3 linked regions of the Oryctolagus cuniculus genome follow. The protein of the gene in region 2 purifies or fractionates together with the protein of the main gene of each other region. This does not show direct contact. Links are inferred from orthologs where the notes say so. Each region holds a gene or a part of one and is shown on either strand. Other genes may lie near its edges.

Region 1 (3,747 bases), about 34 Mb from region 2:
GGCAACGCTGAAAATGTCTGTACAGCCAACGGTAAGGGTGCTTGGATTTGGGATTTTATGTCAGGATTTAGTTCTGTTTTAATGCAGGTATTTAGGTTACTACAAGCAGTAGTAAAAATTTTTTTAAAGATTATTTGAAAGTCAGTTACAGAGAGGCAAAGAGAGGTCTTCCAATGCTGGTTCACTCCCCAAGTGATCGCAGTGGCTGGAGGTGGGCTGATTGAAGCCAGGAGCTTCCTCCAGGTGTCCCCTGCTTTCCCAGGCCATAGCAGAAATCTGGGTCAGAAGTGGAGCAGTTGCCCATACAGGATGCTGGCAATACAGGCAGCGGCTTCATCCACTTTGCCACAGTGCTGGCCCTAGAAAGTGGAATTTTATTTGGTGCTTCTTTACCCCATTAGTCATAGCTACATGTTTCTGTCACTAGAGTTGAATGGTCAGCTGTTAAAAAGGTTTCTGCTGTTAAATAGAGGGGGAAACAGACTCACTGGTTTATTTTGGTGTGTGGATTTGCCTGTAATGCTGTTCTTAAATCTCCATTTTAGGTTTCCCTTGGGGGCTTTGAAATAACACCACCTGTGGTCTTAAGGTTGAAGTGTGGTTCAGGGCCTGTGCATATTAGCGGACAGCACTTAGTAGGTATGTTCTTTTCATATACTGCATTGTATATATATATATATCATATACTGCAGTTGCTTGGCTTCTGGTTTGTACTTAAACCAGGCTTGGTTATACTATTACTGTTTATAGTGAGTTCCAGTGAGAACCTTAAATTAATGATAGTAAGGGCATGTTTAACAACAAAATCCTTTAAAAAATTCTGTTGCCATTTGCTGTCCTTTTGTTGGATTTTTAAGTGTTCAGCATTCTATAGTATTAATCTTTATTTTTCCTGAATGATTCTTGTTTGAGTTTTAAAATAAATGTCTGATAATTTTATTTTAGCTGTGGAGGAAGATGCAGAATCAGAAGACGAGGAGGAAGAGGATGTGAAGCTATTAAGTATATCTGGAAAACGATCTGCCCCTGGAGGTGGCAGCAAGGTGCCACAGGTAGAGATGTCATTTCACTGCAGATTTGCATTACAGCCTTTGTTAGGTGGTAACAATCAGCATTTGCTCATAAGTATATTTTCCTTTTTAGAAAAAAGTAAAGCTTGCTGCTGAAGAAGATGATGAAGATGACGACGACGACGATGATGATGATGAAGAGTGAGTAGCATGCTTTTATGTGCATGGGTGGTAATTTTATGGAAATGATTTACCAGAGTTATTCTGTGCAATAGTTCATAATTAAAGGGATTCATGTGGTCAGTGGTTGTCAGCAAAAAAATGTTGGGACTGAGCCTTTAAAATGCTGCTGTGCATTGTGGCTTTTCCTAAGAGTAGAGCATGCAGCATTGGTAGGAATGGGAAAGTAGAGACAGAATCCTTCCATCTATTGGCTTACTCCCCAAATGGGCTGAACCAAAGCAATGAGCCCAGGAGTTTCTTCGACCTCCCATGTGGGTTTGGGAGCCTAAGCAATTGGGCGATCTTCCACTGCTTTCCCAGACCATAAGCAGAGAGTGAATTAGAAGGGGAGCAGCTGGGACATAAACTGGCACACTTATGGGATGCTGGCACCACAGATGGAGACTTAGCCTGCTGTGCTACAGTGCCAGCCCCAGTAGATTTACTTTTTAAAATGTAACCACAGTGTCGGAATTGTCCCTTTGTGTATATAGTAAGTAGATAATGCTTAGGGAGAAAGTAAAGTATGGGTGGTCCAAATCAGCACATTTTCGAATAGAGGAGAGGGTAGTCAAAAGCATGTGTGTGCTAAGGGACGTCATGGTTGCCTCAAGGGGGCTGAGGGTTAAGAGCATGGCATGGATGATGGTTAAGATGTGAAAAGATGAAATAGCCAATTGGCAGTAGACTTTGAACAAAGAACAAGGTGAAAGGGAGATCCTCTTTTGAGGATGGAAAGGGTATGGCACAGCTTAGTTGAAATTTATATCTGGATTCTATACTAGTATTGTTGGACAGTGTCTTCTGTACTGAATACAGACTTGATTTTTAATCTTTCATCATTTTTGTTAGGTGTAAGAAGTAACTTAGAGGTGATTTGGAGTATATGTATGTGTATATGTATGCGGACACTCTTATAAGTGGTTTAAATATCCCTGGATTGTGGAATACTTGGATCCTGGAATCAACACCCTGTGCAGCCATCACCTAAAAACAATTTTCTGTTTTTACATTTATTTGAAAGAGTTAAGGAGAGAGGGAGAAACAGATCTTAACATCCACTGATTTGCCCCCAAGTGGCTACAGCAGTCAGGGTGGAGCCTAGCCAAGAGCCAGGAGTATCAGTGAGTGGGAAGTGTCTAAAACTTGGCCTTTTGAAGTTTTTTTTTAAAGACAGATTCTTTTATGTCTTAAACCGATTTATTTTTAAAACTTTTTATTTGAAAGGCAGAGTTAGAGAGGCAGAGAATCTTCCATCTGTTCACTACCTAAGTGGCCGCAACAGCTGGAACCAGGAACTTCTTCTGGATCTCCCGTGAAGGCACAGAGGCCCAAAGACTTGGGCCATCTTCTGCTTTTCCAGGCCACAGAGGAGATGGATGTGAAGTGGAACAGTTGGGTCTTGAACTGGAGTCCATACGGGGTGCTGGCACTGCAGCTGGTTTAACCCACTGCGGCACATCACCAGCTCCTTGAACCTTTTCTTGGGCCGTTATCAGGAAGCTGTATCTGAAGTGGAGTAGATGCGACACCACGTCACTAGCTGCACAAATCATTTTAAAATGGTGTAACTGAAAAAATCATTTCCCTTAGCTGTGACTCCTCATGTTCCTCAACGAATGAACTTGGTCTTTATATTTGTAGATTTGCCTATTCTAGATGTTTCGGGTAAATGGTGACTGGAGGTTTAACTCTTCGGGAAAAAAAAGCCTGGCAGTTCCTCTAAGTGCCTGAATGATTCCTGCCAGTGGTGGGTTGTATACATACCTACCCCACTGGTGTATAGTATCATTGTGGTTTTGATTTGCATTTCCATGGTGACTGGTGATGGACATATACCATATGTATATCTTTGGAGAAAAATGTTGGTCAGATCCCTTGCTCATTCAAAAATTGCTAGAGTTCTTTATATTCTGGAAGCAAGTACCTTAGGTGATTTGCAAATACTTTCTGCCATTTTCTGCCATCTTCAGTAACTTGGTGGTAGCCTTTGCATAAAAATTCGTTTTCATGAAGTACAGAATTTTTTGCTTTGCTTTTGTTAAACCTAAAACACCGTTGCCAAATCTGAGGTCGTGAAAATATACTAGTAGCTTCAGCATTCATATAGGTCTTAGATTACTGTTTGAATCACCAAGTGAGAACCCTATGTGGTTTTAGGACAGATTTTTCCAAGGAAGTCAGCATTGTTGTAGGGATTCTGTTGAATATTGTCATTAGATTTAAGTCTACTGTGAATTTTTTGTGTCTTTAGGGTTTTTTTTTTTTTTTATTTTTTTTATTTTTTAAGATTTATTTGAAAGAGTTAAACAGAGCACAGAGAGCTTCCAACCACTGGTTCACTTCCCAGATGGCCACAATGGTTGGAGTTGGGCTGATCCAAAACCAGGAGCCAGGAGCTTCTGGGTCTCTCCCATGGTTCAGGGGCCCCAGAACATGGGCCATCCACTACTGCTTTCTCAGGCCATAGCAGAAAGCTGATTCAGAAATTGAGCAGTCAGGACTCAAACCATCA
Region 2 (3,718 bases):
AAACTTCAATGTACAAATGAATACTAACCACCTGCCGATCTTATCGAAATGTAGGTTCTGATAAATTACTTCTGGGGTGAGACCTGTTCACTCCATATTTCTGACAAGCTCCCAAGTGATGTTGTGCAGCTGGTCAGCTGGCCACACTTTTTGATTATCAGGAGCTTGAAGGACATTTCAGAGAATACATACTGCATGTAGTTTTAAGGGCAGAGTTAAGATGCCTCCTGTTCCCATATATCCTAGTTGTATAACCTTAGAGAAATAATTTTTCTGAAGTCCCTGAGCCTTCCTTTTTCAGCACAAACAACATGCCGAATACACAGCTAATAACAATAATAGCTAATATGTATTGTGTTCTTATTATGCACCACGAACTGTTTCATATTTACAAACTTATGAATAAGACTTAGGTTAGAAAATTTGTCCATAGGCATATTTGTAGGCATAGTACATGACAAACTGAGATCTGATTATAGGCAGTTTGACTCACACCACCTAGAGTATAGCAATACCTCTTCAGATAGCTCCCAGGGCCATTATGAAGATTAAGTAATAATCTGTACTTAACTTTTGTTGGCGTTCCAAGCCCTGATCTAAGCCTCCTCTGAGGCACACTAACCCCTTCATATTTATAACAGCCCCAGCATCAGAACCCCATCTTACAGGCTTTAACATAGGCCCAAGCAAGTCAAACAGTCAAAGCTCAGTGTCACAACCAGAACTGGAAGCCAGGCAGTGTAACTGCAGAGCCCGGCCATCTTTCTCCAGGAGAGGAAAGAAACGCGGGGCTCTGCGGGAGCGCTCTGGGGTCGGCGCGCACCTGCGCCCACTCAGGACAGTTTGCCCGCTCTGCTTAATACAAAAGATAACCAATCTTCTTAGCTTTATGTAAATCTGTGGGATATGTCTTTTTCAGTCCACACCCAGAACCCTGAGAGCGGATTATGACTCTGGTGAAACAATTTGACCCCCTAGAAGCATGATTAGTTAAATATCTTTACAACAGATTTACACTAAAATCGTTAACACCTAGTTGTTCCAGAACCCACATCATCTGCCCCCCATACACATTTGCACGAGCCCGCGCCCCATCCCGGACCGCCTCTCTGACCACCCCTCTGCCTCGCTGCATCCTGGGAGATGCAGTCCCATTCAGGCTCCAGAATTTGTAGTACAGGCTCCTAGCGCCAGTTTACCTGCATCCAGACACGAGCAAAAAGGGGCCGCCTCTAATTCCATCAGCTCTCCAACACCGCCCTCTGCTGGCCCGTTGTCCGTCGTGGGAATGGAGCCGGTTCCGGGTGCTCCGGAAGTGAACCTTTCTCTTCCGGGTTGAGCGTCCGGGCGGACACACGTGGTTGCTGTGCCGGTTTGTGGGTCGGCAGTCGTGAGAGAAGTCGCTTCAACTGTGGCCCCCAAAGTGACTAAGCCGAGCCGGAGCCATGGAGGGCCACAGCGTGGAGGAGCTGCTGGCAAAGGCGGAGAAGGACGAGGCAGAAAAGCTGCAGCGCATCACGGTGCACAAGGAGCTGGAGCTGGAGTTTGACCTGGGCAATCTACTGGCTTCCGACCGGAACCCCCCAACGGGACTGCGGCGGGCGGGACCCGCTCCGGAGGCCGAGCTGCGGGCCCTGGCGCGGGACAACACGCAGCTGCTCATTAACCAGCTGTGGCAGCTGCCGACGGAACGCGTGGAAGAGGCGCTGGTGGCGCGGCTGCCCGAGCCCACCACCCGCCTGCCGCGGGAGAAGCCGGTGCCCCGGCCGCGGCCGCTTACGCGATGGCAGCAGTTCGCGCGCCTCAAGGGCATCCGTCCCAAGAAGAAGACCAACCTGGTTTGGGATGAGGTGAGCGGGCAGTGGCGGCGCCGCTGGGGCTATCAGCGCGCCCGGGACGACACCAAAGAATGGCTGATCGAGGTGCCCGGCGGCGCCGACCCAATGGAGGACCAGTTTGCAAAGCGCATTCAGGCCAAGAAGGAACGGGTGGCCAAGAACGAGCTGAATCGGCTGCGTAACTTGGCCCGCGCGCACAAGACCCAGCTGCCCAGCACGGCCGGCCTGCACCCTACGGGACACCAGAGTAAGGAGGAGCTGGGCCGCGCCATGCAAATAGCCAAGGTCTCCACCGCTTCTCTGGGGCGCTTCCAAGAGCGCCTTCCTAAAGAGAAGGCGCCCCGGGGCTCCGGCAAGAAGAGGAAGTTCCAACCCCTTTTCGGGGACTTTTCGGCTGAGAAAAAGAACCAGCTGGAGCTGCTTCGGGTCATGAACAGCAAGAAGCCCAAGCTGGATGTGACCAAGGCCACCAATAAGCAGATGAGGGAGGAGGACCAAGAGGAGGCCGCCAAGAAGAGGAAGATGAGCCAGAAGGGCAAGAGAAAGGGAGGCCGGCAGGGGTCTGGGGGCCAGCGGAAAGGGGGCCCGCGCAGCCACGGGGGGAAGCGGAAAGGGGGCTCGGGAAGCAAGATGAATTCCGGGCCGCCGGGCTTGGGCGGCAAGAGGCGAGGAGGGGGAGGAGGGGGACAGCGCCCAGGAGGAAAGAGGCGGAAGTAGCAGTTTCACCCTGGGACCCGAACTGTAAACCAAGACCTGCACGTGCCAAATGTTAACATCCAGGGACCATAGGCGGGGGCGGGGGAGGCGGCTGCTGCCTTCCGAGAGCTTGAGGCTGACGGGACGGGATTGCCCTCCCCTCGAGAGCCTGTAAGTTGTCAGTTCTACCGGGTTGATGTTTTCCCCACACCTGAGATTGGCTGGAGATTAAGGATGTGCCAGAGGACGTTAAGAATTAGGGAAACAATGTGTTGATGAAAACTGGGAATGAGTTCTGACAGAGTCATCTTTTTAACTTTGGATATGGGGTGAGGGAGAGCCGGCCACACTTCCCAACCTTAACAGATTGATTTATACATTTCTGCATTATTTTTATAACAAGTATGTAGATTTATCAGCAGTGGGGGAGGTTACAGATATTTTCAGAACTGGGTTTACAAGAAACAGATGTAATGGTTATTTAATAAAGTGTAACTGTATCCAGTGTTGACTTTAACTTTTTTTGACTATTGTGGTAAATGTATAAGGCCAGCAACCTGCATTCCTAGTGTTTTCACTTTCTGAAAACACAAAGCAGTTAAATTATAATGGTTTCAGCAAAGCCACTTTTATTAGAAAAATAACTTCTTTTGGAATCAAATTCAATATTAATAATGTAGTACAATTGGTAGCTGCTTTAAGAAACATTTCATGCTTTACAGCACTGAAAACATTGCTGTAACTCAAGAATTTAAATACCAACAAATCTCATTAATTGAAAAATACTTCAATGTTTCTCAACGTTTATGAATCTACCCTGCTTTTTCCCACTGGGGAAGCCAGTGGCCCACAGAGTCATCCTTAATTGGAACGGTGCTTACACTGACCTGGGCTGGGTTGTTTAGCAGGTGAAACGTTGAAAGCTGTCTTGGGTCTCTTCCCTGTCCCATCAGTTTCTTCCAGCTTGATCTCGGTCAGCTCCTCCGTGTGTAAAGATAAATACTACATTTCCTGAGAACTCTGCCACAGTGCTGGAAGCAATCCAACTGTTTTTGGTCTGACAATGGATAAGAGGCGTTTTGTCTTTTCTTTCTGCTTCATTGGTGTAAGGTTACTTTTAGGAATTGCTATGAAAGAAAAGACTAATTCACACTCCATAGTAATAATTTACAGAAGGTGCAAAC
Region 3 (3,280 bases), on a different chromosome or scaffold from region 2:
GTCACTCTGCCTTTCAAATAAAATTAATTTTCTTTTTAAAGTAGTTGGTAAGAAATGGTACCTATTCCCAAGTTTATTAAGTCTCAAAGCCTTATCCAGAAATTAGAAGATGGAGTTATCCTCCTGTGGCCTCATTCCTGATTCTCAATTCTTTGTCCAAATGCTAAACATGGTCATTAACATACTAGAACATCATGTCATCTCCTTGCATTTGGCAGCTGGGACAGTGAAGCTTGGAAACAGACAAGCATTTTTCCCCCTGCACCCTGCTTATTATTTAGTGGAAAAGCAAACTGGCTTCATTGCCACCGTGATACACGTAGGTTGAGCTCTCACATTCTTCCTGCTTTCCTGAAGTTGGGATTGTCGTCCTCCAGCTCCAGGTCTTGGCTTCCCTCCAACCTCTGGCTTCTGCCAGTCCTTCAGTTAGACCCATCTTACAGTTCTACCACTGTATTCACTATGTTTGTGGGTTTTGCTTTTAAATTGAAATGCTCTGTCAGTTAAGGAAGATTCCCTAATAATACATGGGTTATGTATAAAAAGTAAAACGACGAGGGGCCAGCACTGTGGTATAGAGGGTTAAGCTACTGCCTGCAGTGCCGGCATCCCACATGGGCACCTATTGGAGTCCCAGCTGCTCTACTTCTGATCCACCTCCCTGCTATGGCCTGGGAAAGCAGCAGAAAATGGCCCAAGTGCTTGGGCCCCTGCATCCATCTGGGAGACCCAGAAGAAACTTGCTCCTGGCTTTGGCCTGGCCCAGTCCTGGCCACTGTGGCCGTTTCAGGATTGAACCAGTGGGCGGAAAATATTTCTCTTTCTCTGTTTATATCTCTGCCTTTCAAATAAATAAGTCTTAAAAAAAAAAAAAAAAAAAGAGATTCCTTGTTGTTAATTTCTGTGTTTATTGTAGATTTTACAGAAAGGGAAAAATGTTGGAAGCACTGATCTTCAGAAATCTACAAATGGCCAGGTAAATTTTTTAAAAATTTTTGAATTATATGGCAGATAATAGAAAAAGAATTAAAAATGTATATTCACATAGTTGGTAAATGTATAGATTGCTAAAGTCTTAAAATTTATTTGAAGGTGGTAAATGTACCTTCAAAGAAGAAGAAAACTTCTGGCATACCTAAGAAGAAGAAAAAAAAGACTTCAGGTACTGCTAACACTCCTGAGAAGACTGTGGATAGCCAGGTAAAGTTGTCTTCAATATTCTGGGCACCATGGTAAAAACTGTTTGGGGAAGAGAAGCAATTTCTGCTACTGTCCTTTTGTTAGGTTTCCAATTTAACCTTGTGATATTTTGGTAGGACTTTAGTGGTGACTTGGCAACTTTATCTGCTGTTACATCACCAAAAATAGAAGCAGGCCTAAAATAACAGGGCACAGCTTTGTGAAAATTGAGGGGAGGCCGGCGCCGTGGCTCAGTAGGCTAATTCTCTGCCTTGCGGCGCCGGCACACCGGGTTCTAGTCCCAGACGGGTCCGGATTCTGTCCCAGTTGCCCCTCTTCCAGTCCAGCTCTCTGCTATGGCCCGGGAGTGCATTGGAGGATGGCCCAAGTGCTTGGGCCCTGCACCCGCATGGGAGACCAGGAGGAAGCACCTGGCTCCTGGCTTCGGATCAGCGCGGTGCGCCGGCTGCAGCGCACCAGCTGTGGCAGCCATTGGAGGGTGAACTAAAAGGAAGACCTTTCTCTCTGTCTCTCTCTCACTGTCCACTCTGCCTGTCAAAAAAAAAGAAAGAAAGAAAATCGAGGGGATATGATTGTCTGGGGTGAAGTCATTCCTGAAGTCACTCCACATTTGTGTATTACAAATTTCCACTTGTTGGTTCCAGGGCCCCACACCAGTTTGTACACCATCATATTTGGAGAGACGAAAATCTGAAGCAGCTGAAATGAAAGATGATGAGAAAGATGATGAAATAGTTTTCAAACAGCCTGTATCTGATGTAAAAGAAGAAACACAAGAGACTCAAACAACTGCACGTTCAGGGAAGAAAAGACGAAGAAAAAGCAATCCATGATTCTGAGTGTATTTTGTATAATATATCTTCTGGAAAATGTGATGATTTTATGACTCTGAGTATTACTGTGATACTACGGAATGCAACCATTGATGGGATTTTTCAGAGAAAAACAAGCTATTTGATTGCATCACTCAGGAAACCAATCAGTGATTTTGGCTTGTCTGCCCTTGCTAAGGCACAGTGTTGCAGTGGTTGGCTTCATAGTGTCCTTGTCATAGTCTTGTTTTCTTTTTAGCTTTCATAGCTCTCCTTAGTTATTCTGCCTACATAAAAACTGGTCATCATTAAGTTTAAGTACTAGGGGGCTGGCGCTGTGGTGCAGCAGGTAATGCCTAGCCTGAAGTGCTGGCATTCCATATGGGCACCGGTTCGAGCCCCGGCTATTCCACTTCCAATCCAGTTCTCTGCTATGGCCTAGGAAAGCAGTAGAAGATGACCCAGGTCCTTGGGCCCTGCACCCACGTGGGAGACCCAGAGGAAGCTCCTGGCTTCGGATCAGCACAGCTCTGGCCACTGTGGCAATCTGGGGAGTGAACCAGCAGATGGAAGACACCTCTCTCTCTCTCTCTCTCTCTGTAACTCTCTGTAACCCTCTGTAACTTTCTTTCAAATAAGTAAATAAATATTTTTTAAAAAAAGAAAAGGTTTAAGTACTAAAGTGCAGCATTTTTGTCACCACCAAATGAAGACCACCAATCTCACTGACATAGTAGTTGTACACCTTTAACTTGTCAGGGTATTTTACACAGAAATATCTGGTCTTTGAAACTGCAAGTGCGAATATATAGAAGGCTATTCAAATGTTAGTACAGATTCATTTGTGTGTTGATACAGATTGAAATATGACTCACTTTCCAGTTATGTAGGTTTTGGTAGGTTAGCATGATTAAATACTTGTTTTAAGTCAATATCATCAGTGTGCAATTGGATTCTGAGATTGAGAGATCCATTTACAGATGGGTGTTTAAAGAGTCTTGGGGGAGGCCGGCGCTGCGGCTCAATAGGCTAATCCTCTGCCTGCAGTGTTGGCACCCCAAGTTCTAGTCCCAGTCGGGGTGCTGGATTCTGTCCCAGTTGCCCCTCTTCCAGTTTAGCTCTCTGCTCTGGCCCGGGAGTGCAGTGGAGGATGGCCCAAGTGCTTGGGCCCTGCACCTGCATGGGAGACCAGGAGTAGCACCTGGCTCCTGGCTTCTGATCAGCGTGGTGCACCAGCCGCCGTGGCCATTGGAGGGTGAACCAACGGT

The links. Proteins that work in one complex are often made in the same cells at the same time.
Region 1: the proteins of RRS1 (region 2) and NPM1 purify together in Homo sapiens (affinity purification with mass spectrometry; 3 studies listed by BioGRID and IntAct, counting the BioPlex papers as one, with this or other methods). This does not show direct contact. The link is inferred for Oryctolagus cuniculus from reciprocal best matches to the Homo sapiens genes RRS1 and NPM1.
Region 3: the proteins of RRS1 (region 2) and NIFK purify together in Homo sapiens (affinity purification with mass spectrometry; 3 studies listed by BioGRID and IntAct, counting the BioPlex papers as one, with this or other methods). This does not show direct contact. The link is inferred for Oryctolagus cuniculus from reciprocal best matches to the Homo sapiens genes RRS1 and NIFK.

What each region holds. Positions count from the first base shown.
Region 1 is NC_091437.1:58,117,852-58,121,598, forward strand, and holds part of NPM1 (nucleophosmin), read left to right. Parts: coding exon 1-31; intron 32-545; coding exon 546-639; intron 640-945; coding exon 946-1,052; intron 1,053-1,143; coding exon 1,144-1,211; intron 1,212-3,747. UniProt on the Homo sapiens protein: Involved in diverse cellular processes such as ribosome biogenesis, centrosome duplication, protein chaperoning, histone assembly, cell proliferation, and regulation of tumor suppressors p53/TP53 and ARF.
Region 2 is NC_091437.1:92,090,272-92,093,989, forward strand, and holds RRS1 (ribosome biogenesis regulatory protein homolog), read left to right. Parts: upstream 1-1,326; 5' UTR 1,327-1,445; coding exon 1,446-2,555; 3' UTR 2,556-3,051; downstream 3,052-3,718. UniProt on the Homo sapiens protein: Involved in ribosomal large subunit assembly. May regulate the localization of the 5S RNP/5S ribonucleoprotein particle to the nucleolus.
Region 3 is NC_091434.1:128,346,742-128,350,021, forward strand, and holds the end of NIFK (MKI67 FHA domain-interacting nucleolar phosphoprotein), read left to right. Parts: intron 1-916; coding exon 917-976; intron 977-1,092; coding exon 1,093-1,200; intron 1,201-1,844; coding exon 1,845-2,033; 3' UTR 2,034-2,679; downstream 2,680-3,280.